Neurospora crassa OR74A: one gene and its partners. The protein of the gene in region 1 interacts with the protein of each later gene in a biochemical or structural test. Links are inferred from orthologs where the notes say so. Each region holds a gene or a part of one and is shown in the gene's direction. Other genes may lie near its edges.

Evidence for each region.
Region 2: the proteins of NCU09561 (region 1) and NCU08009 form a complex in vitro, tested with the Saccharomyces cerevisiae proteins (3 studies listed by BioGRID). The link is inferred for Neurospora crassa OR74A from reciprocal best matches to the Saccharomyces cerevisiae genes PSF3 and MCM3.
Region 3: the proteins of NCU09561 (region 1) and NCU08119 form a complex in vitro, tested with the Saccharomyces cerevisiae proteins (2 studies listed by BioGRID). The link is inferred for Neurospora crassa OR74A from reciprocal best matches to the Saccharomyces cerevisiae genes PSF3 and MCM7.
Region 4: the proteins of NCU09561 (region 1) and NCU04378 form a complex in vitro, tested with the Saccharomyces cerevisiae proteins (2 studies listed by BioGRID). The link is inferred for Neurospora crassa OR74A from reciprocal best matches to the Saccharomyces cerevisiae genes PSF3 and CDC45.
Region 5: the proteins of NCU09561 (region 1) and NCU01171 form a complex in vitro, tested with the Saccharomyces cerevisiae proteins (2 studies listed by BioGRID). The link is inferred for Neurospora crassa OR74A from reciprocal best matches to the Saccharomyces cerevisiae genes PSF3 and MCM5.
Region 6: the proteins of NCU09561 (region 1) and NCU04327 form a complex in vitro, tested with the Saccharomyces cerevisiae proteins (2 studies listed by BioGRID). The link is inferred for Neurospora crassa OR74A from reciprocal best matches to the Saccharomyces cerevisiae genes PSF3 and MCM2.
Region 7: the proteins of NCU09561 (region 1) and NCU02539 form a complex in vitro, tested with the Saccharomyces cerevisiae proteins (2 studies listed by BioGRID). The link is inferred for Neurospora crassa OR74A from reciprocal best matches to the Saccharomyces cerevisiae genes PSF3 and MCM4.

Annotation. Positions count from the first base shown.
Region 1 is NC_026507.1:995,840-999,992, reverse strand, and holds NCU09561 (DNA replication complex GINS protein psf-3), read left to right. Parts: upstream 1-1,353; 5' UTR 1,354-1,487; coding exon 1,488-1,529; intron 1,530-1,604; coding exon 1,605-2,219; 3' UTR 2,220-2,789; coding exon of another isoform or gene 2,790-3,541; 3' UTR 3,542-3,610; coding exon of another isoform or gene 3,611-3,728; 3' UTR 3,729-3,927; downstream 3,928-4,153. Other genes in the region: NCU09560 (superoxide dismutase), read right to left, coding at 160-728, 850-995, 1,072-1,127; NCU09562 (hypothetical protein), read right to left, coding at 2,790-3,541, 3,611-3,728. UniProt on the Saccharomyces cerevisiae protein: Functions as part of the GINS complex which plays an essential role in the initiation of DNA replication by binding to DNA replication origins and facilitating the assembly of the DNA replication machinery.
Region 2 is NC_026504.1:3,901,905-3,906,069, reverse strand, and holds the start of NCU08009 (DNA replication licensing factor mcm3), read left to right. Parts: upstream 1-1,365; 5' UTR 1,366-1,595; coding exon 1,596-1,668; intron 1,669-1,751; coding exon 1,752-4,165. Other genes in the region: NCU16827 (hypothetical protein), read right to left, coding at 1-271. UniProt on the Saccharomyces cerevisiae protein: Acts as a component of the MCM2-7 complex (MCM complex) which is the putative replicative helicase essential for 'once per cell cycle' DNA replication initiation and elongation in eukaryotic cells.
Region 3 is NC_026501.1:338,887-342,858, forward strand, and holds the start of NCU08119 (DNA replication licensing factor mcm7), read left to right. Parts: upstream 1-1,172; 5' UTR 1,173-1,278; coding exon 1,279-1,327; intron 1,328-1,462; coding exon 1,463-3,807; intron 3,808-3,972. Other genes in the region: pex1 (peroxisome biosynthesis protein), read right to left, coding at 1-49, 126-242. UniProt on the Saccharomyces cerevisiae protein: Acts as a component of the MCM2-7 complex (MCM complex) which is the putative replicative helicase essential for 'once per cell cycle' DNA replication initiation and elongation in eukaryotic cells.
Region 4 is NC_026504.1:3,568,033-3,572,320, reverse strand, and holds the start of NCU04378 (DNA replication initiation factor Cdc45), read left to right. Parts: upstream 1-1,488; 5' UTR 1,489-1,846; coding exon 1,847-2,614; intron 2,615-2,666; coding exon 2,667-4,288. UniProt on the Saccharomyces cerevisiae protein: Required for initiation of chromosomal DNA replication. Acts at the origin of replication. Also has a role in minichromosome maintenance.
Region 5 is NC_026505.1:3,119,120-3,123,337, reverse strand, and holds the start of NCU01171 (DNA replication licensing factor mcm5), read left to right. Parts: upstream 1-1,418; 5' UTR 1,419-1,637; coding exon 1,638-1,783; intron 1,784-1,848; coding exon 1,849-3,381; intron 3,382-3,446; coding exon 3,447-3,942; 3' UTR 3,943-4,218. Other genes in the region: NCU01172 (GARP complex component), read right to left, coding at 1-581, 642-730. UniProt on the Saccharomyces cerevisiae protein: Acts as a component of the MCM2-7 complex (MCM complex) which is the putative replicative helicase essential for 'once per cell cycle' DNA replication initiation and elongation in eukaryotic cells.
Region 6 is NC_026505.1:5,630,912-5,635,128, reverse strand, and holds the start of NCU04327 (DNA replication licensing factor mcm2), read left to right. Parts: upstream 1-1,417; 5' UTR 1,418-1,569; coding exon 1,570-1,574; intron 1,575-1,657; coding exon 1,658-4,028; intron 4,029-4,170; coding exon 4,171-4,217. Other genes in the region: NCU04328 (metaphase-anaphase transition protein), read right to left, coding at 1-452, 512-566, 621-754. UniProt on the Saccharomyces cerevisiae protein: Acts as a component of the MCM2-7 complex (MCM complex) which is the putative replicative helicase essential for 'once per cell cycle' DNA replication initiation and elongation in eukaryotic cells.
Region 7 is NC_026501.1:2,664,377-2,668,311, forward strand, and holds the start of NCU02539 (cell division control protein 54), read left to right. Parts: upstream 1-1,135; 5' UTR 1,136-1,345; coding exon 1,346-1,670; intron 1,671-1,733; coding exon 1,734-3,868; intron 3,869-3,935. Other genes in the region: NCU02538 (coatomer zeta subunit), read right to left, coding at 1-51, 125-365, 450-551, 632-671. UniProt on the Saccharomyces cerevisiae protein: Acts as a component of the MCM2-7 complex (MCM complex) which is the putative replicative helicase essential for 'once per cell cycle' DNA replication initiation and elongation in eukaryotic cells.

The DNA of each region.
Region 1 (4,153 bases):
ACCCTCCTGCACCGTTGACATGACGCTTCGTGACCTTCTCGTAACCGCAAGTAATATCACATACAACACTACCACCAAACAATCACAAGCTTTCTGCACAGCAGCAACACATTAGTCAATTAAAGCGCCCCTGCTACTACACCCCAAGGTATATACAACTTAAGCCTCAAACCTCTTGGCAACAGTCTTCCAGTTAATCACGTTCCAGATCGCCTCAAAGTACTCTGCCTTCCTGTTCTCATACTGCAAGTAGTACGCATGCTCCCACGCGTCAATGCCCAACAGGGGCACATAGTTACCAGTAACAGGGTCCTGGTTGGCACGGGTAATCAGCGCGAGCTTGCCGTTCGCAGCCTTATCCTTGGCCAACCACGCCCAACCCGAGCCCTGGATGCCGGCCAGCGCAGCATTCATCTGCTTGACGAAGCTCTCGAAAGAACCAAACTCGGTCGTGATGGCCTTGCCGAGAGCACCATCGGGTGAACCGCCACCCTCGCGCGAGGCGGGGGCCAGGTTCTCCCAGAACAAGGTGTGGTTGAGGTGGCCGCCGCCGTGGAAGTTGAGGAGAGGGGCGACCGAGGCGGCCTTGGTGAAGTCACCCTTGGACTCGGCCTCGGCAATGGTGGTCAGGGCCGAATTGAGGCCGTTGACGTAGGTCTGATGGTGCTTGGAGTGGTGGAGCTCCATGATCTTGGAGGAGATGTAGGGCTCAAGAGCGCCGTAGTCGTCTAGGGAAAGGAGAGTGAGTTAGCTTGGGGGGTTTTTCCTCAAAGCCGAAGCGGAGGGAGGATAGACTGAAATGAGGAGCGGGCATTGCAAAGCGAGCGAATGTTGGAGGAAAGAACTTACACTGAAGGTCGGGAAGAGTGGCCTTGCCGCGGACAAAGGTAGCGGCGGGCTTAACGGCGCTGGCGGCGCGCAGAGCGCTGCGGGCGACCGGAGTAGCGCGGAAGAGGGATGCGGACATTGTGACGGCTTGTTTATCGAGAGAAAGACTAGTAATTAGGTGAAGTGGTTAGGTCTTGAAGTGCGAGAAGAGGAAAATTAGATGATCAATGGGACGGCGGCTACCTCAGAGTAAGTGAATTGGCCGACTGATTGCGACTATCGGAAATGTCTCTTTCCATTTACTTATCTAATAAGCTCGGATGATGATGGAAGCTCCATGGAAACCGTTCCAACTAATTCCGTCATAGCCCCACCCCGCCGAGGGGAAGAGGTGGGTACCTCTATGGCTCGTGTGGCTGAAAGTGGAACAAGGAGCCGTCTCTGAGTGGTGAGTAAGCCACAGTGTTAATTGCGGTCTCTTGGCATGGCGGCGCTCTTCCTCTGTCGCGTCTCCCACTTCCAGAGCGCGTCTCCCCAGAACCTTGATTGATCTCGAAATCCTGGCGAAAACTTGGTTTGGGTCAGTTGTCCAACTCAACACTGTCCAACTCATCTCCAAACGCCAGGCTGGTCCAATTGAAGCTACCAAAATCACCACCATGTCATATTACGATATCGATGCGATCCTGACTGACGCAGAGGTACCCTCCATCTCCCTCCCCCACCATATCATCACCCAACGCCAAAACACCAACTAACCCGACGATCCTCCCCAGAAAATTCCTTGTACCTTTCAAATCGACGTCCCCGACCTTGGCTATCTCGACAACCAACCGGGGCACACCCTTAAGTCCGGCTCGCGCGTCGCTCTCCCCATCTGGCTGGCTGAAATGCTCGCCATCGCTAATACGGGCGCCGTCGACATGGACGACCCATCACAGTCCAGCAAATCCTTCATCACCTTCGACCTGCCCCCGGCACTGGGTAACGACGTTGTCCAAGCTTTGAAAGCCGACCCGCGCTCCGTGCCGCTGCGCGATCAGAGCGCCCACTTCTACGCCCTCGCCACGCACATGATGGAGTTGTCAGAGGAGCCGGAGCTGAGCGCAGTGTTAAGGAAAACGTTTGTCTCGAGGGCGGCGGAGATTGCGTTGCATGCTAGGAAGGTGGGTGGGGGCGGAAGTTCGTATCATGGTCGAGATGGCGGAGGAGCCGGAGGAAAGGGCAAGGGGAAGGCGACGAAGGACGATAATGCCAGCAATTTGGGCGTGGGAGGCGCTGGTGAGGACTTTTTGAGAGGGTTGGATGAGTGGGAGAGGAAGCTGTTTAGGAGTGCACATGATGGGACGAAGGCGAGCAAGGAGTGGATGGAGAATGTCAAGAAGAGGTGAGTGGAGTGGTACTGTTGGAGCGTTGTTGCTACCGCTGGCGCCCGATCGGTCTTTACCTCGCAACGAACCAGCGCTTCGGTTCAAGCATCCTCCATGATTCTCGGACTGCGCTCGATGCAGTATATAACAACAGGCCACCGGCGACCTCCCAAGTTCATTTACCATGACGAAGCTGTGGATCAGTCATTATCACGGCTCGAGAGCATCGGGATACCACGAAGGAGACAGGATTCTTGGGGGTTTAGTTGTGTCACCCTCCCCTGGAAGTATGGCGGACTTGGACTGCTATCGCCGGATGAGTATCCTACGCATCGCTGATCTTCACAGAGTTGTGCTGTCAGCGGCACAGCAGACCATCTGGCCTAATAATGAGGAAGACTCATGAGATATTAAGAGGACATGAGGTTCGGCACTCTCTGTTAACTCGGACTTCGTCAATTGGTGGGTGACTAGCGAGCGACATCGGATCCTTCATTTGGGTATACCACTATTTCGTCCATCACGGTCTATGGAATATTTAACAAGATAGCCGAAGCTCAAATTGGCTTGGCCGACGACTAGCCACCACCCTCACCCGCGGGACACTCTGGAGCGATCAACATGCCTCTCCTCCTTCTTAGACTCAGTTGCAGCAGACATGGCCCTTCTCACACGCCTCTTCTCCCGATTTTTCCTCCTCTCCTCACGGCTCAGCCTATTCTCCCCGTCCTTTTTGGCACGGCGGTTGAGACTCATAAGCATACCAACCTCGCCGTCAACCTCGTCAACATCTTCAGGCTCGACAGACACAGGCACAGGTTCAGAACGGCCAAAGATCTTGCTCAAAAGACTACCCAGTCCGAGCCCCTGTCCCTTTTCTGTTGCTGCATCCGGGTGGGAAGAGCCGGTGGGCACAGTGCCGTTGGATGCGGCAGCGGGAAGGACAGTACTATTCGAGCTGCGGCCAGCGAGAGGACCAGGGATGGTGGGCGTGTTGTGGTGATTGAAGATCTTGTGAAGGAGATCGCCAAGTCCAAGGGATCCGTGGTCTCCTTTGGTTGCCGCGTCTGGATGGGAGGCACCGCCAAGGATAGTGCCGTTGGAAACACCAGCAGGGGTTACGGTGCTATTTGAGGCCCGGATATTGAGAGTAATGGCGGTGGACGTATCATGGCGGCCGAAGAGGTTATGCAACAGACCACCTAGGCCAAGCCCCCCTTCCTTTTTGTCCGTCGAGTCAGGATGGGAGGAGCCAACAGTGCCATTGGAAGCCGGAGCGGAAGCAGGAGCGGTGAAGTTCGAGCTGCGGGCTTTGAGAACCGCGCTACCGGATGGCGCATCTTCTGTGATGAGGGAGGGGGTCGTCAGTGCTTAGAGCTTCCGGTATCTTGAGCTTGGTACTCGAGACTTACTCAGCGATCGCAAGGTGTAAAGGAGATCTTCAACATGAAAGGCAGAGACTATGTTGCAGGCAAGGAGAATGGTAATAGTGAAGTTGGCGAAGAAGCGGAGAGAGAGCGGATGACGCATGGCTCCTGATTGGGCTTGTACTCGCAGAAACAGGTGAGTCTAGCAAGCGAGGGCCGATGCGGAGATGGGTGTATGCTACGCCTAGAAAGAAAATAACAGCGGTCGGAAACCAGCCCGAGAGAGAACGAATGAAAGAATAAGAGAAGTTGAGAAAGACGACAATGACAAGTACAACATCAATGACGATTATAAGTTATTGCAGCAGTATATATGCCTTTCTTCCCCTTGATCGGTCTCTCCAACCCCATCAACAAGTCTAACAGGCGCGGCCCCGGCATCACGAACGGTCATAGGATCCTCTAGCTCCAGTCCCAGCCTTACCCTTTTGCCCCGTTTTCGACTCGCTCGAATGCCTCGCTGCCGTGCTCACCATTGACACGCGTTGACGTGGACAATTTTGCCGCCGGGCGTCCCAAATTTGGGTT
Region 2 (4,165 bases), on another chromosome or scaffold:
AGTCTACCGGGAACCGATTACCGTGTCTACATGATGGAGCTGTACGACATGGACCACAACAGCACAGCTCGTTGACGATAAGGGTGGTTTTCGTCCCGCCTTCGAAGAAATCGTACGACCAGAACCGCAGGAGAGAGTTGATGCTGTATGAGGCTAATGGCAAACGGCATAAAGTTGATGACCATATGTAACTTGCCATAGCCATGTCTGCAAGCGGGCAATGACGGCTCAAGTGAACAGTCGGGAAGTCGAAACAACAAACACAACACATTTCACGGTAGGATCCCGATGGGATCCCGATGGTGATGGGCTCTAGTCGGGTACGAAAACCACGGGAAAATCAAGGAACCAAAGGATGTATTCAGCCGTTGCAGTTGTTGAGCGGAACCTCAAACCTGACTGCCGTGAGAAGAACGGATGTGGGGCAGTAATCGCCGGCTAGGAGCAACGTCTATCGGACCGTTGAAAGTTGATGTAGCATGTGAACGACGCAGCAGGGGAGACAATGATCATGGGGAGCTCAGGATGGCACACTCTGGCTCGCGCTTGGAGCCGTCGAGAATCATCACCCGACTGGGGTCGGTTTTGCTCGAGTACTTGGGCGCTTAGGCTCATAAGTAACATTGGTACCAGTGAAGCTGCGAAAGCCCTGCGTTGGCTTATGGGTTAGAGACTCCAAAGAGTGGATCGAGTAACTTTTAGACACTCGTGGCTTCTTTCCATTTTACACTTTGGTAACAATCACTTTGTTTCACCCATGTCGTCCACTTAACAGGACCCAACAGATGTTGTCCTATGGTCATACTTCAACTGCTAACACGAAGCATAGCACAACTACGAAGTATGAACTTGTAATTTAAAGGCTGGGAGGCACACATGTATGTGAGGTACACACGCTAGTGACCAACAACACTACTGAGGTTTCGGCCGCCTTGAGGTTGTTGTTCTTTCTCTTCTCGTTTTCGGGGCAACACAACGTGGGCTTGCTCGCTGAGGATCAAAGGCCATGCGGAGTACCGAGGTCTTGAAGACACTGTCGAGCCAGACATGGACGCTGGTCAAGTTGAAAAGGCCGAGAGGTACAAGTTAGAAGAGATCAAGCATGTGCAAATTGACCTGGAATGTATGTACAATCTTCGTGGAAGTTTTGTTATCGATAGTAAATGTAACCTGGAAACTACACTGAGTGGAAGTCTGGAGGGCCGAGGTCTGGTGTAGGTGGTTAGATACTGGAAATTACACGCTTCTTGATGGCAATTATGGGTAATGACGGTATCAGGTACAGCCCCGCTTGTATCAATTAAGCCCCCTGCCTGAAGCAAGGGGTTTAGCGCGACTCGCGTGTCGTCGACGCGTTTTCCACTTAAAATCGTATCGTTTCGTTTTGTCACTTTTCCATGGCGGCTCCGCAAGGTGAAGCGCATGCGCCAAAACAAAACATCGGCGACTCTTTCATTCTTCTCCAGCAATCTTTTTGGACGACAAGAACGGAGGCCACAACGACTAGCCTTACTCCGCGTCCGAACCCGTGTTACCTTTGTTTCCCGTCTGTGACACTGGCTTGAAGAGTTGTTCTTTGGATTAATACCTTCAAGATGGATTACAACGCCCTCCGCGACGAGGCCGTACGCGACCGTGTGCGCCAGGCCCAGGAGTTCCTCGATCCTCGTACGTCGAAGCTTGAAGCTGATGCTGGCCCTTTGTTCACGACCGAAGCATGGAACGAAACTAATGGCGAACCTTATCTACAGATGACCAGCACCAGCGAAGCTACAGACCAGACATTGTGTTGATGCTCCAGAAGAACCAGAGGAGACTCGTCGTCAATATCGATCATGTCCGCGATCACAGCTCTGAGGTAGCCGAGGGTCTACTTACCGATCCCTTCAACTGGACCCTCGCCTTCAACCATGCGCTCAAGACTATCGTCAGCACCGTCCCCCAGGCCCGCCCCGATCAAATAGACCCCGACGTCTTATACTATTGTGCCTGGGCTGGCAGCTTTGGTCTACACACCTGCAACCCCAGGACACTGTCCTCCCAACACCTCAACAATATGGTCTCGATCGAGGGCATCGTAACAAGGACGTCCCTGATCCGCCCCAAGGTTGTCAAGAGTGTACACTACAGCGAAGCCAAGAAGACATTCCACTACCGCGAGTACCGCGACCAGACCATGACGAACGGCATTGTCACCAACAGCGTCTACCCGCGCGAAGACGAGGAGGGCAACCCGCTCGAGACCGAATACGGCTTTTCGACCTACCGCGATCACCAGACCATTTCCATCCAGGAAATGCCGGAGAGGGCACCTGCTGGTCAGCTGCCCCGAGGCGTCGATGTGATTCTCGACGATGACCTGGTAGACCGCGTCAAGCCTGGCGACCGTATCCAGCTCGTCGGTATTTTCCGGACGTTGGGTAACAGAAACACAAACCACAATAGCGCCCTGTTCAAGACGGTCATTCTGGCCAACAACATCGTCCTGCTGTCCTCCAAGTCGGGTGGTGGTGTGGCTACAGCTACCATTACCGACACCGATATTCGCAATATCAACAAGATTTCCAAGAAGCCAAAAGTTTTCGAGTTGCTTTCACAGTCACTGGCTCCCAGTATCTACGGACATGACTACATCAAGAAGGCTATCCTGCTTATGCTGCTGGGCGGCATGGAGAAGAACCTGGAGAACGGTACACATTTGAGAGGTGACATCAACATCCTGATGGTCGGTGATCCTTCCACCGCCAAGTCGCAGCTCCTTCGTTTCGTCCTCAACACTGCTCCATTGGCTATTGCCACGACTGGTCGTGGTTCTTCCGGTGTTGGTTTGACTGCTGCTGTCACATCCGATAAGGAGACTGGCGAGCGTCGTCTGGAGGCTGGTGCCATGGTTATGGCTGACCGTGGCGTCGTCTGTATTGATGAGTTCGACAAGATGTCAGACATCGATCGTGTTGCCATCCACGAAGTCATGGAACAGCAAACTGTTACCATTGCCAAGGCCGGTATTCACACCTCCCTTAACGCCCGTTGCAGTGTTATCGCCGCGGCCAACCCTATCTTTGGACAGTACGACACCCACAAGGATCCTCACAAGAACATCGCCTTGCCCGACTCCCTCCTGTCGCGTTTCGATCTTCTCTTCGTAGTCACCGACGACATCGAGGACACCCGTGACCGACAGGTATCCGAGCACGTCCTTCGCATGCACCGCTACCGCCAACCCGGCACCGAGGAGGGTGCTCCTGTGCGCGAGAACGCCGGTCAGGCCCTCAACGTCGCCCTCAACGGGCAATCCGAGTCCCAAAAGCCCACCGAGATGTGGGAGAAGTACGACGCCATGCTGCATGCCGGAATCAAGGTGCCCAGCGGCCGCGGGTCTGCCAACAAGAAGCCCGAGATCCTCAGTATCCCCTTCATGAAGAAGTATATTCAATACGCCAAAACGCGCATCAAGCCGGTACTGACGCAGGAGGCTTCCGACCGCATTGCTGACATCTACGTGGGCCTGCGCAACGACGACATGGAGGGCAACCAGCGCAAGACGTCGCCCATGACGGTCCGTACGCTCGAGACGCTCATCCGTCTGGCCACCGCCCACGCCAAGGCACGCCTGTCCAACCGCGTCGAGGAGCGTGACGCCGCCGCTGCCGAGTCCATCCTCCGCTTTGCCCTTTTCAAGGAGGTGGTCCAGGACGAGTCGCGCAAGAAGCGCAGAAAGACCCGACCCGCCGAGGGCGAGGATGGCATGTCCTCCGACTCTGACGACTCTGATGACGATGACGACGACGTGGCAACTCAAACCACCACAGCCCGCTCCAGCGCTGCCAGAGCTTCTCGCGCTTCCCGCGCTTCCCAACGCGCCAGCCGACGCACTCCCGCCAATGGCGCTTCCTCCTCCTCCGCAGCAAACGCCAACGGCACTCCCAGAGAGGAAGAAGAAACCCAAGGAGCAGAAGAAGAGGAAGAAGACATCTACGACGCCACCCCGCGCCGCTCAACAAGATCTGCTCGCACAACCGGCGACTCACAACCATCCTTCGCCTCTTCCCTTCCCGCCTCGCAACTTCGCTCCACTCGCTCCCAACGATCATCTCGTCGCACCGCTCAGAACCAAGACGACGAAGAAGAACTCGCCTCCGGAGCCGCCAACCTCAACGTCGAC
Region 3 (3,972 bases), on another chromosome or scaffold:
GGGTCGACTGGACGCGGTAGTTGAGCTCGACGATGACATTCTGGGCGGGCTATCCATGAGGGTGGTTCTGTGTCAGCTAGTCTCCAGTGGCATTCCATGGTTCTTCTTCTGACTGGGGGTCTTACCGTGTTGACATTGGAGAGCAGGGAGGCCAGTGACGGTGGCAGGTTGACGAAGCAGTTTTGGAGATGGACCAGGGAGATTTCGGCAGCGGTAGACTGCGCGTTCTTTCTGGGAGCCATGGTGGGTGGCTGCTGTCGTCGTCGTCGTCGTCGTCGTCGTCGTCGTCCGTGTCGACTACTTGTTATGGTGGTGGTGGTGGTGGTGGTGGTGGTGATGATGCTGTCGTCGTGGTGTTTGGCATAGGCGATGATGAGATGACAGATGAAAGGGTCCTGACCGTACCTAGCGAAGGTCACTAGGTAGCTTAGTTGGCTGAGTCGACCTACTAGTCTAACAATTACACCGAACAACGGGAATCCATCCGCCCCATCAATCCCCGGGTTCTTGTTGTCTTGGGCGGAGATCCAGGGGCATGATTGGTGTTGTTTTCAGCTGATTGGGGAGAACCTGGAGCCGCGGCTGGAGCCCGATTGGAGCTTCTCCAGCTGTCCCCAGTTTGCATGTGCCGAGGCACGCCACGACCTGGTACAGGGGGTTTCGGGCATGTCCCAGCGCAGGTACAGCCGCATGGAATTGTTAGGGGAATACATGAGCATCAAGAAGCCATCATGTTGAAGGGAGAAGATATCCGGATGGAAACTGGAGAAAGAGGCCAAATCTGAGGCATTGAAACTGTATAGATGAGTACGAACGTGGGATATGAAGTATAACCTGTTTCCAGCAACTCAATGCCATGAGATGGTACTTCACTTCACACTCTTATGGTTGACATGTTATGAGGCTCAAGTCGATAATCATGTTCCTGGACAACACTGACACGCCTCCTGTATAACTCATTCCTGCCACTCACTGCCACCTGCCAGGGGCATTCTCCAGTGTCTAGAGTAGAGGTAGGGATGCATGTAAGTACCTTGGCCCATTAAAGATTCCTTTGCCGGACCGCGTCTCATCGCGACTCGAACCGCGACAGTGGAGTCAACTGAATGGACAGAGGACCCACTCTTTCATGCTCCTCCATTCAATCAATGTTGACATCCTTCGTCCAACAAAACAAAGTCGAATTCCCCATCGCAACACAACCAAAACAATCCCCAGCCAGACCTTTGACCACACACCGAGTTGCGCCATACTATCCCACCCACCACATCTCTCACCATGGCGCTCCTCAGATACCCCGCCCCCGTCGACTACGACGCGCAAATGTGTAGGTGGTGACTAAATAATTTCAATTACGACGAGGGAAAACTTTGATTTGATGATGGCTTCTCGATCGAAGCGCGGAGGATGGATTGCAAGCAAGAGGCAGGCTGGGCGCTAACCACAACGATTCGAACAACAGCCGCGTTCGAAAACTTTCTCGACGACTTCAAGACCTCGCCCCAAGACTCCATCACCCATGCGCTAGGCAACATCGACATCAACGAGGACGACCTCAGCGACGAGTATGACTTTATGGACGACGACGACGACGACGATGCCCAGCAACAGCGCCGCTCCGAAAGAGCGAGGAGACGCGCCCCCCGCCACAAGTACAAGGAGCTTCTCCAGGAACTGGCCGACCGCAAGATCAACGAGATAGTCATCGACCTGGACGACCTGCAGTCATGGGAGGAGGACGTCAACGAGGGCCTCAAGCTGGTTGAGTCGGTAGAGCGCAACACCAAGCACTACGTCGAGGTGCTCTCGCGCGCCGTCGACAAGCTGATGCCCCAAACCAGCAACGACATCACATTCAAGGACGATGTGCTCGACGTCCTCATGGCCAACCGCCAACAGCGCAACCGCACCCTCACCGAGGCCGCCGAGAACCTGCGCGACCCCGACATGCTCAACGACACATACCCCGCCCAGCTCACCCGCCGCTACACCCTCGTCTTCAAGCCCCGGACCATGACTGCTGATGGGCCCCAAAAAGCCCTGTCGGTCCGCCAAGTGCGCGGCGATCATCTCGGCCACCTGATCACCATCCGCGGTATTGCTACCCGTGTGTCCGACGTCAAGCCCATTGTCCAGGTTGGCGCCTACACGTGCGACCGCTGCGGTTGCGAAATCTTCCAGCCCGTCACCGACAAGCAGTACGCCCCCCTGACTCTCTGCCCATCCAAGGACTGCAAGGAGAACCAGGCCAAAGGTCAGCTGTACCCGTCGTCGCGGGCTTCCAAGTTCCTGCCCTTCCAGGAGATCAAGATCCAGGAACTCGCCGAGCAGGTCCCCATCGGTCAGATTCCCCGTACCCTTACCGTGCTTGCGTACGGCAGTCTGGTCAGAAATGTCCACCCCGGTGACATTGTCGACATCTCGGGAATTTTCCTCCCTACTCCTTATACCGGCTTCAAGGCCATGCGCGCCGGTCTGCTAACCGACACCTACCTCGAGGCCCACCACATTGTCCAGCACAAGAAAGCCTACACCGAGATGCAGATCGACCCCTCCCTGCTCCGCCGTATCGCCAAATTCCAACAGACCGGCAACACGTACGAGTACCTCGCCAAGTCCATCGCCCCCGAAATCTACGGCCACCTCGACGTCAAGAAGGCCCTCCTCCTTTTGTTGGTCGGCGGTGTCACTAAGGAAGTCGGCGACGGCATGAAGATCCGCGGCGACATCAACATCTGCCTGATGGGTGACCCCGGTGTGGCCAAATCGCAACTGCTCAAGTACATCTCCAAGGTAGCCCCGCGCGGCGTGTATACGTCTGGCCGCGGTTCCTCGGGCGTTGGTCTCACCGCCGCCGTAATGCGCGACCCCGTGACAGACGAAATGGTTCTCGAAGGCGGCGCCCTCGTGCTCGCCGACAACGGCATTTGCTGCATCGACGAGTTCGACAAGATGGACGACAACGACCGCACCGCCATCCACGAAGTCATGGAACAACAAACCATCTCCATCTCCAAGGCCGGCATTTCCACCACTCTCAACGCGCGCACCTCCATCCTCGCGGCCGCCAACCCGCTTTACGGGCGGTACAACACCCGTCTCTCGGCCGTCGAGAACATCAACCTCCCCGCCGCTTTACTCTCCCGTTTCGACATCATGTTCCTCCTCCTCGACACGCCCACGCGCGACACGGACGCCCAACTCGCCAAGCACGTCGCCTACGTGCACATGCACAACCGCCACCCCGACATTGGCACGGGCACCGGACCGGATTCATCCGTCTTCTCCCCCGAGGAAGTCCGTGCCTACGTCGCCAAAGCCCGCGAGTACCGCCCCGTCGTCCCGCAAGCAGTCTCCGAATACATGGTGAAAACCTACGTCCGCCTGCGCGCACAGCAGAAACGCGCAGAGAAGAAGAACCAGAACTTTGGCCATACCACGCCGCGTACTTTGCTAGGTGTCGTCCGTCTTGCGCAGGCTTTGGCTCGGCTTAGGTTCAGCAACACCGTCACGCAAGATGATGTTGATGAAGCTCTCCGTCTCGTGGAAGCTAGCAAGGAGTCGTTGGCGCAGGATGATAGGAATACTGGCAATAAGAGGGCAATGAATGCTAGTAGTAGGATTTATAACCTTGTGAAGGGGTTGGCGGATAGTGGAGCGTGCAGACCTGATGATACCCCAGAAGAGGAAGAAGAAGATGAGTTTGGGGTGGAGATGAGTTTGAGAAAGGTCAAGGAACGGGTGATTGCCAAGGGCTTTACGGAGCAGCAGTGGTTGAGTGCGTTGGATGAGTATACTGATTTGGATGTGAGTTTTCTTTTGCCCCCTTTTTTTTACTTTCTCTTCTTTTTTTTTTTTCCTTTCTTTTGTTCCTTTTTCTTTCCTTTTCCCCTTCTAGTCTTTCTTTCCCCTTTCTTTTTTTCCCCTTCTTTTCTTACCCTTTCGTACTTCCATTCTTTCCCCTTTCTGTCT
Region 4 (4,288 bases), on another chromosome or scaffold:
AGCGTATATCTGGCAAGGTCTGGCTGGCTACCTGCCCAAGTCCCCGGGTCGCTTCCATGCTTGACTCTAGTGTACACTACTACACGGTAGACGCACCCCAGGGCAACTTACAAACCACAAGTGTTTTGAGAAGCGTGTCGATCACCTCGTTGCTGGGCCCAACCATCAGTCAGTTCCTCTGAACAGCCTCCTTCCTGCTTTGGTCAGTGAAGGCAGAGGAGCGGTCAGGTTGACCGTAGAAAAGCGTGGGCCGCAAGAGTGGCCGCCGTCGTGGCTGGCTTGGCAGGCCGGCTGGCTACTGTAGTAGCACGGATGGAGTGAAATTGAGACTGTCGCCGACGAGACGGGGCGTGGTGTGGGTGTCGTGGTGGATGGCCAGTGTTGTGAGTGGTGTCTGGTGTGCGGCAGTTGTTGTGTTGTGATCCAAGCAATGATGGAAATGTGGATTGACAAAAGAGGGACCAAACTAAACAGAGGAAGAGAAGCGAAGATGGAAGCTGGATTATAGGTCGAATCGGAAATCCGGAGACGCTGATCCGGAATCCAGGATTGGAAAGCACATCGTTAGATGGTCCCTTCCTGTGCTAGGTATTGTACTTCAATCCGCACTCTGCAATTTCGGAATAGTTCATCATCCCCGGTCCGTTCCTTCACCGCGGACCTTTCTGTGGGACATCGATGCCTGTCTGGACACCTACCTATGCTATGGTAGGAGATGGAGTGGAAAGAGCACAGCTGGTCACCCAGGTTGATAAATTAGTTCAGTTCCAGCTGTTGGGCAGCCCCACGGTGACAGTGTTCTCAGATGATTCCACGGCAACTAAAGAGTTCACTAAAATCCAGGGACATCGGCCGGCAGAAATTCTCGTGAAATTCCACGTTCGACCAGGTGGACAAGTTGCAGAAGTGGAAGCTTCTATCGCATTGCTGTCGTGCAGGAACCTTACTGGCCGTTGTTCCGTTGTCCTCTGGGCAGGCATTTGCCGGGCTATGATGTACCTACCTGGTTTACCTTATTACCTACCTACTTACTGTACCAATGCCCGTGCTTCGGTCGAGGGATGGCCGCCCCGGGGTGCCCCTGTGGCCTTGGCTGTCAGCAGCTGCCCTGGGCAATTCCACTTCGCGTTGTACCCCGCCATTTCTTGATATACTACTGTACGCAGTAGGTAGGTAGGTACTTTACCCAGCTCTACAATAGGTACCTCCCGTCTTGCCTGCCCAAAACCCAAAGCCCCACTACAAGTACGTAGAGGTACCTCTAGGTACAAGCAAACTGGTCGCTCCGGCCGCGTCCTTTCACTGCACGCTTTGTGCTGACGCCCCCCCTGCAGTCCACTGCAGTGGTTGATATCTAAGTAATGCACGCTGTGCCCGCCCTGGCACAAAACCACTTTCACAGAGTCGCGTCTCGAAGCGCGTCCGAAGCGCAGCGCTGGTTGGCCGCCCTTCCATGTCAATTAAAGGATCCTGGCCAACATCAACAAAGGAACACTCCTATCAACACCATCATCCCTCGCCCGAATTATTGTCGACCGCGACAACACTATCCGACTGACGTGCATCGCCATCACACCAGTATTTTTTTGCCATCGTATATTTCAAGCTACATAGTCCAGAGCAGAAAGCTCTTAACGCGGGGCAGGCCGCGTCGCGCATCCCCCGTCGGTTTTTTTTCTGCCCAGTGAACAGAGTTCGAAGTTAGTTACCTCGAGTAAACTACAACTGAAGTGTTCCACGCCGGCGAATATCCCACGACGACGTCGCCTCGCCGCCCCGCCTCGACAATCCGTCCCCAGCCGATTTCCCTCGCTGATCCACCCTCGATACCGATTCTCCCTTCGCAATGTATCTCCCTCGACAGCTTATATCAAAACTCTACCTCCACTTGCAAAATACCCGCCATCCACTATCGCCGCCCGTCCTCATCTTGGTCGCTCTCGAAACCGATGCGCTATGTGCCTGCCGTATCCTAACCCAACTTCTCAAACATGACTATATTCCGCACAAGATCCAGCCAGTCGCTGGCTACTCCGACCTCGAACGTGCCGGCACTGAGCTCGTCAGCCCCATGATGGAGACCCGTGGTGGTGCTGGAGGAGTCGTCGTATGCTTGGGAGTGGGTGGTATGGTTGACCTCGGCACAGTTTTGGGACTTGAGCCCGAGGGCGAAGAAAATACCTTTGGGGGTGTAGAGGTGTGGGTGATCGACTCCCATCGCCCGTGGAACTTGGGCAACGTTTTCGGCGGCTTTCCCCTCGAACCAGAGACGCAAGAGGCCAGGACATTCTCTGCGCGAACCCCCATTGGTGTCAATGGCGGCCGGATAGAGCGAGCATACAAACCAGGCAAAGGCGGCATCATTGTCATGGATGACGGCGACATTGAAGATGAGCTCTCCAAGGAACGAGATGCGTATCTGGCGCTAGTGGATATGCCCGAAATCGAAGATGATGGCCGAGACTTGGGCGACAGTGATGAAGACGAAAGCGAGAACGAGGAAGACACGGGCGATACATCGGTTGTTGCAGGCAGAAAGAGGAAATCATGGTCGGACTTCGACGAGGACGATGATGAAGACGACCGACCCAGACAGCGACGAAGAAGCAATTCGGTGAGTACATTCCGATTTCTTCATAGTAATACATCTCTCATGCCAGATACAGTCGAGTCCAATTCCAGATTCGCCTCGACGACCGCAACACCGTGGTCTCATATCTCTACGCGACGATGCCCTATTTTCCAGTGACGCGCTGGAAGCTCCGCCTGCTGCACAACCACCCAGAGGCCCTTCAGCCAACACCCTCCGACGGAGATTGCTACGACTACGACGAGAAAACGAGGGAGTTTTGCGCGAGTACTACCGACTGGGTACATCATATTCGGAGCCCATCTCGTCCATGATGTACTCCCTTGCGTCAGAACTGGGTCGTGAAGACAACGACCTGCTATGGTTAGCGATCGTTGGGGTCACGTCGATGGAGCTGTACGGCCGCTCATCTGCCGGTATTGCGGTAGCAGCTCGCAGGTCAGACGCCCGCATTTCCGGTTGGCTCGGCATGCGTGGTGCGAGAATACGGCAGCTTCTGCGAGACGAGGTCAGACGTCTCAACCCACCAGAGATAGGAAACGGCCGGGTGCTCCCCGAGACGACAGGAATTATCCCAACAACCGCTCGAAGTCCGGAGGATACCAGTATCAGGTTGTCGCCGGAGCCCAAGTTCCTGCTTATTAGGCACTGGAGTTTATACGACAGCATGCTTCACTCACCCTACCTCTTCTCTCGGCTAAAGACGTGGAGCGAGGCTGGCATGAAGCGATTACACAAGCTTCTCGCCAAGATGGGTGTCAGTCTGGTGCAGTGCAAGCAGAGTTATGCCCACATGGACATGATGTTGAAGCGCGAACTTCGCACCAAACTACTAAAATACGCGTCTCTCTACAACCTCGACGAACTTGTCCCGACCATAGACACGGACGGGAAAGATCGTGGAGGTGCCAAAGATGGATGGGGCTTTGTACGCAGTTGGGGTTGGAGGGCAACCCTGAGTGCGCAAGATGTCGGTGTCGTAGTCGGAGCCCTGTTGGAAGTGGGGAAGAACACCACTAGTGCTGATGACCTTCCTGCTGGCCCATCTCAGGATCTTCTCGACGTAGACAACAACCAGAGCCAAAGTGAGGAGTGGATCCCCAGGTTCTGGGAGGCGTATGATGCGCTGGAGGACATCGAGGCCCTTAAGGCTGGCCTTCCCACGGCGCAGTATCTACACAAGGCCATCTTCACCACTGGCACGACAATTTTGAAGAAGAAACAAATATCTCATCTGCGCGCATTTCGCATGTGCGTGGTCAAGGACTCACCAGATGCGACACTCTTCAACCACCCCGGCGCTTTGACCAAGCTAGCGCTCTGGATCGGTGAAGCACTCGCGGAACAGGAAAAAGAAGCCACTGGCGGGAGGCTCGCCCATGGCGGTCGTGGCACACCTCTCGTAGTGGCTAGTCTAGATGACAAGCGCGGAGTGTATGTTGTCGTCGGTACTGGTGGCGGCGGTGGGCCAGACACAAAGTTTCTCGATCGTGAATCGGCCAAGAAGCGAGCCGAAGAAAAAGAGGCCAAAGCTAAAGCCAAGGAGATGCAGAGAAGGATCAAGGAAAAGATCAAGGCCGAGAAGAAGGAGGCCAAGAGAAAGGAAAAAGAAGAGAAAAAGAAAGCCAAGTCCGACGCCGGCGGCGATGAGGACGAGGAGGAGGACAACGAGGAAGATAGTGACGACGACTCGGATCT
Region 5 (4,218 bases), on another chromosome or scaffold:
ATACCACGGGAATGGTGGATAATGGTGGAGGACCTTGCGATGCCGCTTTCCTGTAGCTTGAGCTGCGTCGAGCGGGACCCGGGGCTTCTATCGATGATATGGACGTAATGGATGAGCTGGATGCCCTCCTGGATGCGCCAGATCGTTTGCCCGGTCGTAGGTGGCCATCCTCGGCTGAGGTTGCGTCCGCCTTGCTACCTCGTCTGCTGTGAGTACCAGATGCCTCTTCTTCGTCTGCCTGAACCCGTCGTAATTGTTCGTATAACGCGCCGACTTGGGTGAGATATTGTGTGAATTCGGAATTGTCAATGCGAGGGACATTGGTGAGCGTGACAGGTGGAATGTCTCGAGCAGTCGGAGGCTTATGCGCAGTGGAAGCGGGTGCTGAGGTATGGGGAAGGAGGCCGGTTCGGACTATGGGCGGTTGGAGCAGGGTTGAGATGGCGTTCTGACCGGACTCTAGGACGGCGTCACCCCAGGTACCAGTGGAACTGTCGAGAGAGCCACCGATGGAGTGTATGGAGCCCGCCGTCGAATCCCGTCGAGAATGGAACGGGCGGCTCGGACTGCGTGAGCCTCTCCTTCAAGGAGATGTTAGTGTATATTACGGAAAGGGCATGGACAGACAAAGCGCATCGCACCCGTGGAAAGGAAAGTCGCCAAACCGCCCGGCATCGGGTATTGGCGAAAGACTATCGACCGACTTGCGAGCACCCTGGTTGGAGAACATGATGGCTCATAAGTCTCCCGGAAGTCCTAGGCCTAAGCTCAGGGGAAGACGAAATGGCCGTTGGTCATGCGCCGGTGGATTGGCGACGTGGGAAGATGGGGAGGGGGTTCGGTAATCGGTATTAGTCTATCGAGCTGTAGGCGCGGGCCGGCAGGCCAAGGGAAGCAACCAAGGTAGGTGGCGTTGAGGCTATCGTGGTCCAGAGTATGGGCGGTTACTGCGAAGGGTCACGGGGGTATCATAGCGAAACGAGAACAAGACAAGAACCAGATTGTATTTTCCACAGAAGATGGCCAAGAAGAGGCGCAAAGCTGTAGTCTCGACGCGAGCAGGTGTTGAGGTCAGGGACTCGGAGCTGCCTGTCGAATGTCAAGGTCCCCCCAATTCACAGCGGAAGCCACGCAGCGGGCATTGGATCCCACAGGACCCTTGTTCGGGATACGTAGCGCAGTTGAATGAAGCTCCGCCCGCCACTGATGATTACCTACGCAGTAAGTATACTGTGGTATGTATTTGAGCGGGCCACAAAGCTGGGTCTTGCACCGGTTGCTGCAAAAGTGTCTGGAGGGTGAACCCCCCCTAGCTGGATATCCTTTTAAGCACTCCTTTTCCTCCGCACTTCAGGGGGCCTGCCTGCTGAGCCGTCAGGTACCTGCCATTCAGCTACAAGTGGGGTGCCCATTAAAACCCCTGCCAAAAATCGCGTCTTGGGTGTGCAGTATCAATGTTTCTCGCGTCGCGGTTTTCGCACATGTTTTGCCATTTTGGATTCTCCCTCTGTTAGTTGTCTTTCTGCCCCCAACAACCCCTCCCTTCTCTGCTATTTTCTACAATTCTCCCGGTGCGAACATCTACGGCCAGTGCACGCGAGTAAACAAAACAATCACATACCAAGCCACCGTCAGCTATGGATTATCAGTCCGTCTTCTCAGCCCGGACCTACGCCGGCGCTGCTTCTTCATATGTACCAGAGGAGGACAGCAACCAGCACATTCGCGCCCAGCTCGAGGCTTTCATTCTCGACTTCCGACTAGATAACAGCTTTATCTACAGGTTCGTACTCTGTGTAGCATACTCCTGTCCTCTGTCGAGCTTCCTGTTAACATTACTCCTTCCAGAGACCAACTACGAGAAAATGCCCTTCTAAAGAAATACTACTGCGATGTCAACATTGGCGACTTGATCAAATTCAATGAAGAAATTGCCCATAGACTAGTCACCGAACCCGCCGAGATTATCCCTCTGTTCGAGGCCGCTCTGAAGCGCTGCACACACCGAATCGTCTTCCCAAACGAACCCAAGATAGACCTGCCCGACCACCAACTGCTTCTACACTCCAACGCCGAAGATGTTTCTATCCGTAACCTCGACTCCCTTACAATCTCCCGGCTGGTCCGGGTACCTGGTATCGTCATTGGTGCCTCGGTAATGTCGTCCAAGGCGACTGAGCTCCACGTCCAGTGCCGCAACTGCGGCCACGTCCAACACGTTCACGTATCCGGCGGCTTCAGTGGCGCTACCCTTCCCAGGACATGTGGCAGAATCAGGGCACCTGGGGACCCTGGCGAGAAGTGCCCAATGGATCCCTACTTTGTACAACATGAAAAGTCCAGATTCGTCGATCAGCAAATTATCAAGCTTCAGGAAGCTCCAGACCAAGTTCCCGTCGGTGAACTGCCCCGCCATGTCCTGATTTCCGCCGACCGCTACCTCACGAACCGCGTGGTGCCCGGCTCAAGGTGTACCGTCATGGGTATTTTTTCTATATACCAAAGTGGAGGCAACAAGAAGTCCACAAGCGGCGCCGTCGCCATTCGCACACCCTATCTCCGCGCAGTCGGTATCCAGACAGACATTGACCAAACAGCCAAGGGTCTGGCTGTCTTTTCCGAGGAGGAAGAGCAGGAGTTCCTTGAGCTTAGCCGTCGTCCAGATCTCTACAATGTCATGGCCGAATGCATCGCGCCGTCCATCTATGGAAATAAGGATATCAAAAAGGCTATCCTCTGTTTACTCATGGGTGGCTCCAAGAAGATCCTTCCAGATGGCATGAGGCTTCGTGGTGATATCAACGTCCTCATGCTTGGTGATCCCGGTACGGCCAAGTCACAACTGCTCAAGTTCGTCGAAAAAGTCGCTCCTATCGCCATCTACACCTCCGGCAAGGGTTCCTCCGCCGCCGGTTTGACGGCTTCCGTCCAGCGTGACGCTTCCACGCGCGAGTTCTACCTCGAAGGCGGTGCCATGGTTCTCGCTGACGGCGGTGTCGTCTGTATCGATGAGTTCGACAAGATGCGCGATGAGGACAGAGTGGCAATACACGAAGCTATGGAGCAACAAACCATTTCCATCGCCAAGGCCGGCATCACCACGATCCTCAATGCTCGAACTTCGGTCTTGGCCGCCGCTAACCCCATCTTTGGCCGCTACGACGACATGAAGACCCCGGGCGAGAACATCGACTTTCAGACCACCATCTTGTCGCGTTTCGACATGATCTTCATCGTCAAGGATGAGCACGAGCGCGGCCGTGATGAGCGCATCGCCAAGCACGTTATGGGTATCCATATGGGTGGTCGTGGTGTCGAGGAGCGGATTGAGGCAGAGATCCCGGTCGAGAAGATGAGGCGGTACATCAGCTATTGCCGATCGTAAGTTGTTTATGCTCCTATCTACCACCTTAGACACATAAAAACTGACATTGTCGCTCCTCCAGCCGCTGCGCCCCGCGCCTCTCTCCGGAAGCCGCCGAGAAGCTCTCCTCGCACTTCGTCGCCATCCGCAAGCAAGTGCACGCCTCAGAGCTTGAAGCCAACGCGCGCTCCTCGATTCCCATCACGGTCCGCCAGCTCGAAGCCATTGTGCGCATCACCGAGTCGCTCGCCAAGCTGACGCTCTCGCCCGTCGCGACGGAGAAGCACGTGGACGAGGCCATCCGGCTATTCCTGTGCTCGACCATGGACGCCGTCAACCAAGGTGGCAGCACGGGCAGCAATCGGGAGTTGAACGAGGAGACGTCCCGCGTCGAGGCCGAGCTGAAGCGCCGCTTGCCCATCGGCTGGAGCACCAGCTTGGCGACCCTGCGCAGGGAAATGGTGGAGGGTAAAGGGTTTAGCGAGGTGGCGCTGAATAGGGCGCTGATGATGTTGCAGAGGCGGGATACCATTATGTTTAGGAACCAGGGCGCGCAGGTTTATAGGAATGGCGCGTAGAAGGGATGGTGGGGAAATGACGGAGTGTTTTTCGAAGATGTTCCGACGAAAAAAAGAGAAAAGAAAAGCAAAACCGAAGCGTTCTTGCTCTGCTATTTTATTTTTCTTTGGGTGTACAGGTTAACAAGTACAATATGGGGTTTCATGGCAATGGGCGTAAGGGGGGCTCTTCCAATTTTATTTGGGTCTGACATGGTAGATATTTTGTCTGTCACAGTTTTCAACGGCCAGCTAGAAGACACACATTCGATGATCTTGCTGCAGTTTAGTATTCTC
Region 6 (4,217 bases), on another chromosome or scaffold:
CCCACGATGCACCCAGGATGGTACCAATCCTCCCCACAACCACCCGTTTCTGCCGTGCCTAGGCCCAGACATTGAAACATGGTCCCCTTCTGCTCAAACGGGTCATAATCGCACTCGCAGCCGCAGAACCGATTCCGGAAGTTATGGTTGTACTTGTTGTTGACATCTGGTTCCTCCGAGTGCACGCCGCCCTTGGTGCCCGTCTCCTCATTGATGCGCAGGTTGCACGGGCTCGTGGGCGGGAAGCGTGTGGTACCGCAGTCGCAGGTGAAGTTGCGCTTGGCAAAGATCTCGACGAGAGTGTGCTCGCCGTGACACTGGACGGAGCAGGAGTAGCAGATGCCGGCCGCATTGTAGGGCGCTTTCGGGTCGGCGGGTGGTGGGTTGCAGGTCAGGCAGGAGAAGACGGCCTGGCGGAGGGGGCCGAGGGGCTTGGTGCAGGTTTCGATGCTCTGGTGGGAGGTTAGGATTGACTTTAAGGAAAAGGGCAGAGAAGACAAGGGACACGCACGTATGGAAGAGCTTCGCGAGCGTCGGCCTCTAGTTGCATTTGGTCGCGGATGAAGCTAGACCATGGTTAGTACTTTGTCATGTGGTAAGTCCAATATATGACAACATACTCTGCGGCAGTCTGAGAGTTTTCTGACTTGGCGGAGAAGCTTTCAGTACGAGTCTTGGTGAGCGCGACTGGTGCTGGAGCTCCATGGCCATCTGGAGTGGCCTCGGCGGGCTGTTGCGCCGGTTGAGGGTCCATGGGTGATGGATGCTTTCACGGTCAATCTTGGATGGTCGGTGGTCTATCAAAATTGTTGATAAGACAAATGCCTCGAGATGGTGCTGGATCACGAAAGATGGGTTCTGTCCGGAAGTCTTTAAAACAAAAAACAATTGCTGGGGCGCGAAGAGGAGGAGGAGGAGGGGGAGGAGGAGGAGGAGGGCGCGTTGGTGGAAGCGTGGGGAGAAGGACCGAGCTTGCAATGTACCCTTGGTTTGGTGTAAGGCACTGTGGTCTATATGTCCAAGCAGCACAGATTGGAATTGGGTTCAAGGAAACCTATTTGAACGTGATCCGATCAATAACATGGCCCTGTAGTATGTAGCACCTTATAGCTCATGCTTTGCTCGTCATTGTTCACTGGACTTTGAGCTTTTGTGACTTTTTGGGAATCTCGACGAGTCGAATTGGCGTGTAAGAGCAGCACCAAGTGGGTCCGGTACGCATTGCCAAGCCCATTAAACCTCAGCAACCACTTAACGCGACCGCCCTTATCCGGCTTAGCGCATCACGTCTGGCGCGTCTTCCCTGGACTGCAACGCGAGAAAAAAGCAGGGACAAGGTCGCCGCAACGAAGGGCAACATTCATTCAGTGGTTCCTCGACGCTGTTTGTCTCCATTCCCCTCCCCCCCCCCCCCCCCTTCTCTCTCTCTGTCTCACCCCGCAACATATCCTCTTTCTGGCTGGCATTCATTCTCCATAGTAACAACTAGGCCAGCATCCTCCACTCTCTTGTTTCTTCCATCTGTAGCTGGCTACAGTCCTCTGAGATACCCTCAGCCAAGTCGCAATCATGAGGTATGTGTGCCTCTTGCTCTTTCGTCTGTCACGGCTTCTCTTCGCAAGTAAACAGTGAATTAACGGAAACTCTCCAATACCAGTTCCCCGCTTCGCGACAACCCGTCCTCTGCCAACCGTGGCGCCGTTCCCAGGGCCACTCGCAAGCGTGCGCGTAACGATCACGATGGTGCTTCCTCGCTTCCCCGCGCTTCGAGCCCTGTCATGCCCTCTTCTCCTCCCGCCTTCCCAGTTGCCCATGGCGCAGATGAGGACGACGACATCGAGGAAGACGTCGCCGCTGAAATCGAAGACGACATTGACGACCTCGACGAGTTGGCCGAAGACGATGTAGATTTGTTCCGCGAAGGCTTCGAGCGCGATTATAGGGAACGAGACGAAAACGACGCCTACGAAGGAATTGACATCGACGATGACGAGTATGAGGCCCTCGACCCCGCCGCAAGGCGCCGTCTTGAAGCCAAGTTGGCCCAGAGAGACCGTCAAGTGAGGATGGGAATGGGCACCACGTATCTTCCTGGTGATGACGACGATGGTGATATCGACCTTACCAACCTGGAACGCCGCCGAAGAATCCGCTACAATGAAGACCCCGATGTCGATATGGATGGCGACATTATGGACTCGGAACTTCCCCTCGAGGCCCTGATGGATGTCAAGGCTGCCACTTTGAGCGAATGGATCTCAGTCCCGGCTGTACAAAAGACCATCCGCAGAGAGTTCAAGGCTTTCCTCACAGAATACACCGACGAGAGCGGTTCGTCCGTCTACGGCAACCGCATCCGTACTCTTGGTGAGATCAACGCCGAGTCTCTCGAGGTCTCCTACGAGCACCTCGCTACAGCCAAGGCCATTCTCGCATACTTCCTCGCCAATGCGCCAACCGAGATGCTCAAGCTCTTCGACGAGGTTGCCATGGAAGTCGTCCTTCTCCATTACCCCGACTACGAGCGCATTCACGCCGAGATCCACGTCCGTATCTTCGACCTTCCTATCCATTATACCCTCCGTCAGCTCCGCCAGTCGCACCTCAACTGTCTTGTGCGCGTGAGCGGTGTCGTCACCCGCCGCACCGGTGTCTTCCCCCAGCTCAAGTATGTCAAGTTCGACTGCACCAAGTGCGGCGTCACTCTCGGTCCCTTCCAGCAAGAGTCCAACGTCGAAGTCAAGATCTCTTACTGCCAGTCCTGCCAGTCTCGTGGCCCCTTCACCCTTAACTCCGAGAAGACCGTCTACCGCAACTACCAAAAGCTCACCCTCCAAGAATCCCCCGGCACCGTTCCCGCCGGTCGTCTGCCCCGTCACCGCGAGGTCATTCTCCTCTGGGACCTGATCGACAAGGCCAAGCCGGGCGAGGAGATCGAAGTAACGGGCATCTACCGCAACAACTACGACGCGCAGCTCAACAACCGCAACGGCTTCCCCGTCTTCGCCACCATCCTCGAAGCCAACAACATTGTCAAATCCCACGACCAGCTCGCCGGCTTCCGCATGACCGAGGAAGACGAGCACGAGATTCGCCGTCTCTCGCGCGACCCGCACATTGTCGACAAGATCATCAACTCCGTCGCCCCTTCCATCTACGGACACACCGACATCAAGACCGCCGTCGCCCTCTCCCTCTTCGGCGGCGTCGCCAAGCAAGTCGGCGCCCACCACATCCGCGGTGACATCAACGTGCTGCTCCTCGGCGACCCCGGTACCGCCAAATCACAAGTACTCAAGTACGCCGAAAAGACGGCCCACCGCGCCGTCTTCGCCACCGGCCAGGGTGCTTCCGCCGTCGGTCTGACGGCTTCCGTCCGGCGCGACCCGCTCACGTCCGAATGGACTCTCGAGGGCGGCGCCCTCGTCCTCGCCGACAAGGGCACCTGCCTGATCGACGAGTTCGACAAGATGAACGACCAGGACCGCACGTCCATCCACGAAGCCATGGAGCAGCAGACCATCTCTATCTCCAAAGCCGGTATCGTCACGACCCTGCAAGCCCGGTGCGGAATCATCGCCGCTGCTAACCCTATTGGCGGGCGGTACAACTCTACCATTCCCTTTTCTGCCAACGTGGAGCTTACCGAGCCGATTCTGTCTCGTTTCGACATCCTTTGCGTCGTGCGCGACACAGTCGAGCCTGAAGAAGATGAGCGGCTGGCGCGCTTCATTGTCGGGTCGCATTCGAGGAGTCATCCGTTGATGAACAACAACACGCAGGACGCTAGCGGTGGTGACTCCATGGAGGTTGAACACGATACCCAAGCTGCTGCGGAAACCCAACAAACTGGTGAACACGGCCGTAAAAAAGAGGGCGAAATCCCACAAGAGCTGTTGAGGAAGTATATCCTTTATGCCCGAGAGCGGTGCCAGCCAAAGTTGTATCACATGGATGAGGATAAGGTGGCGAGGCTGTTTGCGGATATGAGAAGGGAGAGTTTGGCGACGGGGGCTTATCCTATTACTGTAAGTTCTTCCCTCTTTCCTTTTTCCTTTTTTTTTTTTTTTTTTTTTTTTTTTTTTTTTTTTTTTTTTTTTTTTTTCTTTCTTCCTCCGTCACAAAATACAACACAATAACAACTGCTAACCTCACCCACCACCACCTTAGGTCCGTCACTTGGAAGCCATCATCCGCATCTCCGAAGCCTTCTGCCG
Region 7 (3,935 bases), on another chromosome or scaffold:
AGGGATACCAGATCGTAGTTTTCGACTATCGTGCGCTTGTCGATCGATTGCCTGAGTAGAAAGTCCGTGGTTAGCCAAATCATGTCCCATGACCGGCACCTTCACGTTCGCCATAAATACTCACTTGAAGAGCATATGCAAGCTGTCCCTAAGCGCCAAAAGTACGTTGTAGAGCAGAACTTCGTTCTCGTCCGCGCTACCAACGACGTAGATAGCAACGTCCGACTCCATCTTGTAAAGCACCACCTTGTTGTCGTAGAGGAGGATATCGCCCGTCTGCTTAGCTGTCTTCTGAAGGAGGCCCTTCTCGAAACGGGTTTGAGAAGTCTTGTCGGGATAGGGGTTCTGGGAAGCGCTCGAGGAAGCTGTTGTGCACAAGGTTCGGGCTGGTCAGCCTTACGGGAACATGCGACACCGAATAAGGGGTAAAAGGAGCGTCTATTGCGTACCGAGTCCGGCGGCCACTCCTGTTCCTGGTGCGCCAGCGGCAGCGTGAGGAGGAGTGTAGTATTTTGAGAATATCCGCGAACCGTCATCGCTGGAGAGGATTACTGTTGGAACGCAATTGTCAACATTGCTCGACGTGGCGCGTATAAGCCAGGACCCAGGAGCAGCGTGGTGCCTAGTGTACCTATAGCGTTGACGCTATACAGCGACATTCCTGGCGACATCTTGACTGGTTATCTGGGGGTTCTTGTTTCTTGATCAATTGCTGTCTCGAGACTGGTATCGGTTGGAGAAGGTCGGCGACGAGGGGCAACTCGACTTCAATGGGCGCAAGTGGGTAGGTATATAGTGGTTAGCTTGAACTCCAGAGGTGCTGCGTAGGTAGGTAGTGCTCACAATGACCAGGGGCAGGCGGTATCGTTGGTTACCGTGGTGAGCGTGGGTATTGTGGGGTGAAGCGGTCCCTGTGATGTGGCTTGAATCCAGAGCGAACACTCCAAGCGAGGCCCCACGGCGCGGTACGTACCTTACGTACCTGACAGTTCGCACTCAAGAGCAGCACTGCAGTGGCCTCGTCCGTCTCATTTGGGTATGACAGGGGTTTTAATGGGTCAACGCGAGTAAGCCCCCGCAGACACGAACGGCCGTGTAAAGTGCTTTTATCAGAGACGCGTGTGTCGCGACTGTCTTTTTTTTCGATAGGAACGTGATCCACCTTGCCCGTCCTGAACACGCTGCCGACCTGCCAACCACCTCGCAATTACAGAGGGATCGGGAGCCGCCACAACAACACTCCAGCGTCTCCATCCCAACCTGCCCGTCTTCTGTCCCTTCTTGTTGGTTTAGTTTCCATACTTTGTATTATCTCAACAAAACCACCGAGGACAGAGTAGTAAACATGTCTTCCCCAGCAAAGCGCAGAACAACGAGAAGCTCCCAATCAGCTACTCCCCGCACTACTCGCAGCTCGCAGGCTGGTCCTTCGAGCGCAACTCCTCGCCAGACACGCGCATCACAGCTTGCCTCTAGTCCCTTATTCTACGAGCCCTCCTCGCCTGCCAATGGCGCCGCCCCGGTATCTTCTCCCTTGAGGCAGATGAGCAATACCCAGAGCACTGCCCACCAAGGCAATGCGCCGAGCTCGCCTTTGCGCCAGCAGACAGAGACCCAGAGCGATGCTGACCGAACTCCTCGCGCAAACGGACGGAGCCAGTTAATTGGGGGTATGGCTGTCAACCAAAAAAAAAAAAAAAAGGACTACACTGAATGCTGACCACACTCCGCAGACTCCTCTCCCATCCGCTATGCCTCCAGTTCTAGCCCGGGCCGTCAGCTTACTCAACAGTCCGATCTTCGTAGCGAAAGCAGTCAGCTCTTCGTCAGCTCGCAAAGGTCCGTTGCCGGTCGATCCCGTCGAGGCGACATCAACGGGGACCCTCTTCGTACTCCCGCCCAGATTCCCCGCCGAATCATCCTCGACGACGCCGGTCGTGTGATCCGCGATGCCCCTGGCTCCGATGCCAACTCGTTTGTCACCAATAACCCCAATACCTCTGAGGCAGATGCCCTTGGTGGACAAAGCCAAGGTCTTGTTTGGGGTACAACAATTTCTCTTGACGATTCGTTCTCCGCGTTCAAGGACTTTCTCAGGAACTTCACCAGGAAATACCGGATGTGGGCAGATGGCGCGGACGAGGCCGAGACTATTGGCCATCCGGATGCGGATTCGAAGCCATATTGGGAGGCACTGGAGAATATGCTGCTGCTTGGTACCAACAAGCTGTATCTGGATCTCCGCGACCTCAAGTCCTACCCGCGCACCTTGAAGTTATGGCATCAGGCCCAACACTATCCTACCGAAATCATCCCGGTCATGGATCAATGCGTACATGACTGTATGATGGAGTTGGCGCAAAAGGAAATGGCCAGCCAAAGAGCATCCCAAAACTCTAGGACCGCTCCAGGTGCCTCACAAAGCTCGGAGCCGAACTTCCCAAGCTCTGAAAGGAGCGAGGAACCGCCCACCCCGCGGCCTGCCCAAACAGCGGCGCCCACAATTGAGGACCAAGTCAGCCAGATGGCGTATGTGGTTCGCCCGTGGGGTCTTGACAAGATCACCAACCTCCGTGACCTCAACCCATCTGACATGGACAAGCTTGTGTCCATCAAGGGTCTTGTCATCAGAACCACGCCGGTCATCCCCGACATGAAGGATGCATTTTTCAAGTGCAGTGTTTGTGGTCATTCTATAACCGTTCAGTTAGATCGTGGCAAGATTCGTGAGCCTACAGAGTGTCCTCGGGCTCGCTGCGCCTCCAAGAACTCAATGCAGATCATCCACAACAGATGTGCTTTCGAAGACAAGCAAGTCATCAAGCTGCAAGAAACTCCGGATAACGTGCCTGCTGGTCAGACACCCCACTCGGTATCCGTTTGCGTCTATAACGAGCTTGTGGACTTTTGCAAGGCCGGTGACAGAGTTGAGCTCACTGGTATCTTTAAAGTCACCCCCGTTCGTGTCAACCCGCGCATGAGGACGGTCAAGAGCGTGCACAAGACATATGTTGATGTTGTCCATGTACAAAAGGTCGACCGCAAGAGGATGGGTTCTGATCCCTCGACCCTCGACCTTGCCGAGGAGGAGGAAGCCCATGCTAATGGCCAGAGCATGGACGAAGTCCGAAAGGTCTCTCCTGATGAGGAAGAGAGGATCAAGGAAACTGCCGCTCGACCGGATATCTACGATCTCCTTTCACGTTCTTTGGCTCCATCAATTTACGAGATGGATGATGTGAAGAAGGGTATTCTTCTTCAACTGTTCGGAGGCACGAACAAGACCTTTGAGAAGGGTGGAAGCCCCAAATACCGTGGAGACATCAACGTTCTCCTCTGTGGTGACCCATCCACTTCCAAGTCCCAGCTTCTCTCCTATGTTCACAGAATCGCCCCAAGAGGTGTGTACACGAGTGGTAAAGGTTCTTCTGCCGTAGGTCTTACCGCCTATGTTACCCGCGATCCCGAGTCCCGCCAACTCGTTCTAGAGTCCGGTGCTCTCGTCTTATCCGACGGCGGTGTCTGTTGTATCGACGAGTTCGACAAGATGAACGAATCGACCCGCTCCGTTCTTCACGAAGTCATGGAACAACAGACCGTGTCCGTCGCCAAGGCCGGCATCATCACCACTCTCAATGCCCGAACATCAATCCTGGCGTCTGCCAACCCCATTGGTAGTAGATACAACCCTGATCTATCAGTGCCGCAAAATATTGACCTCCCGCCAACCCTTCTATCCCGTTTCGATCTGGTCTACCTCATCCTCGATCGTGTTGATGAGAAGAATGATCAGCGTCTGGCCCGCCATTTGCTCTCCATGTATCTCGAAGACAAGCCCGAGAGTGCCCAGCAGGCCAACGACGTCCTTGTGAGTTTTTCCCCGTCTGTCAATCCACACGAAGATGAACCCCAAACTAACCAACTCCCCCTCAAAA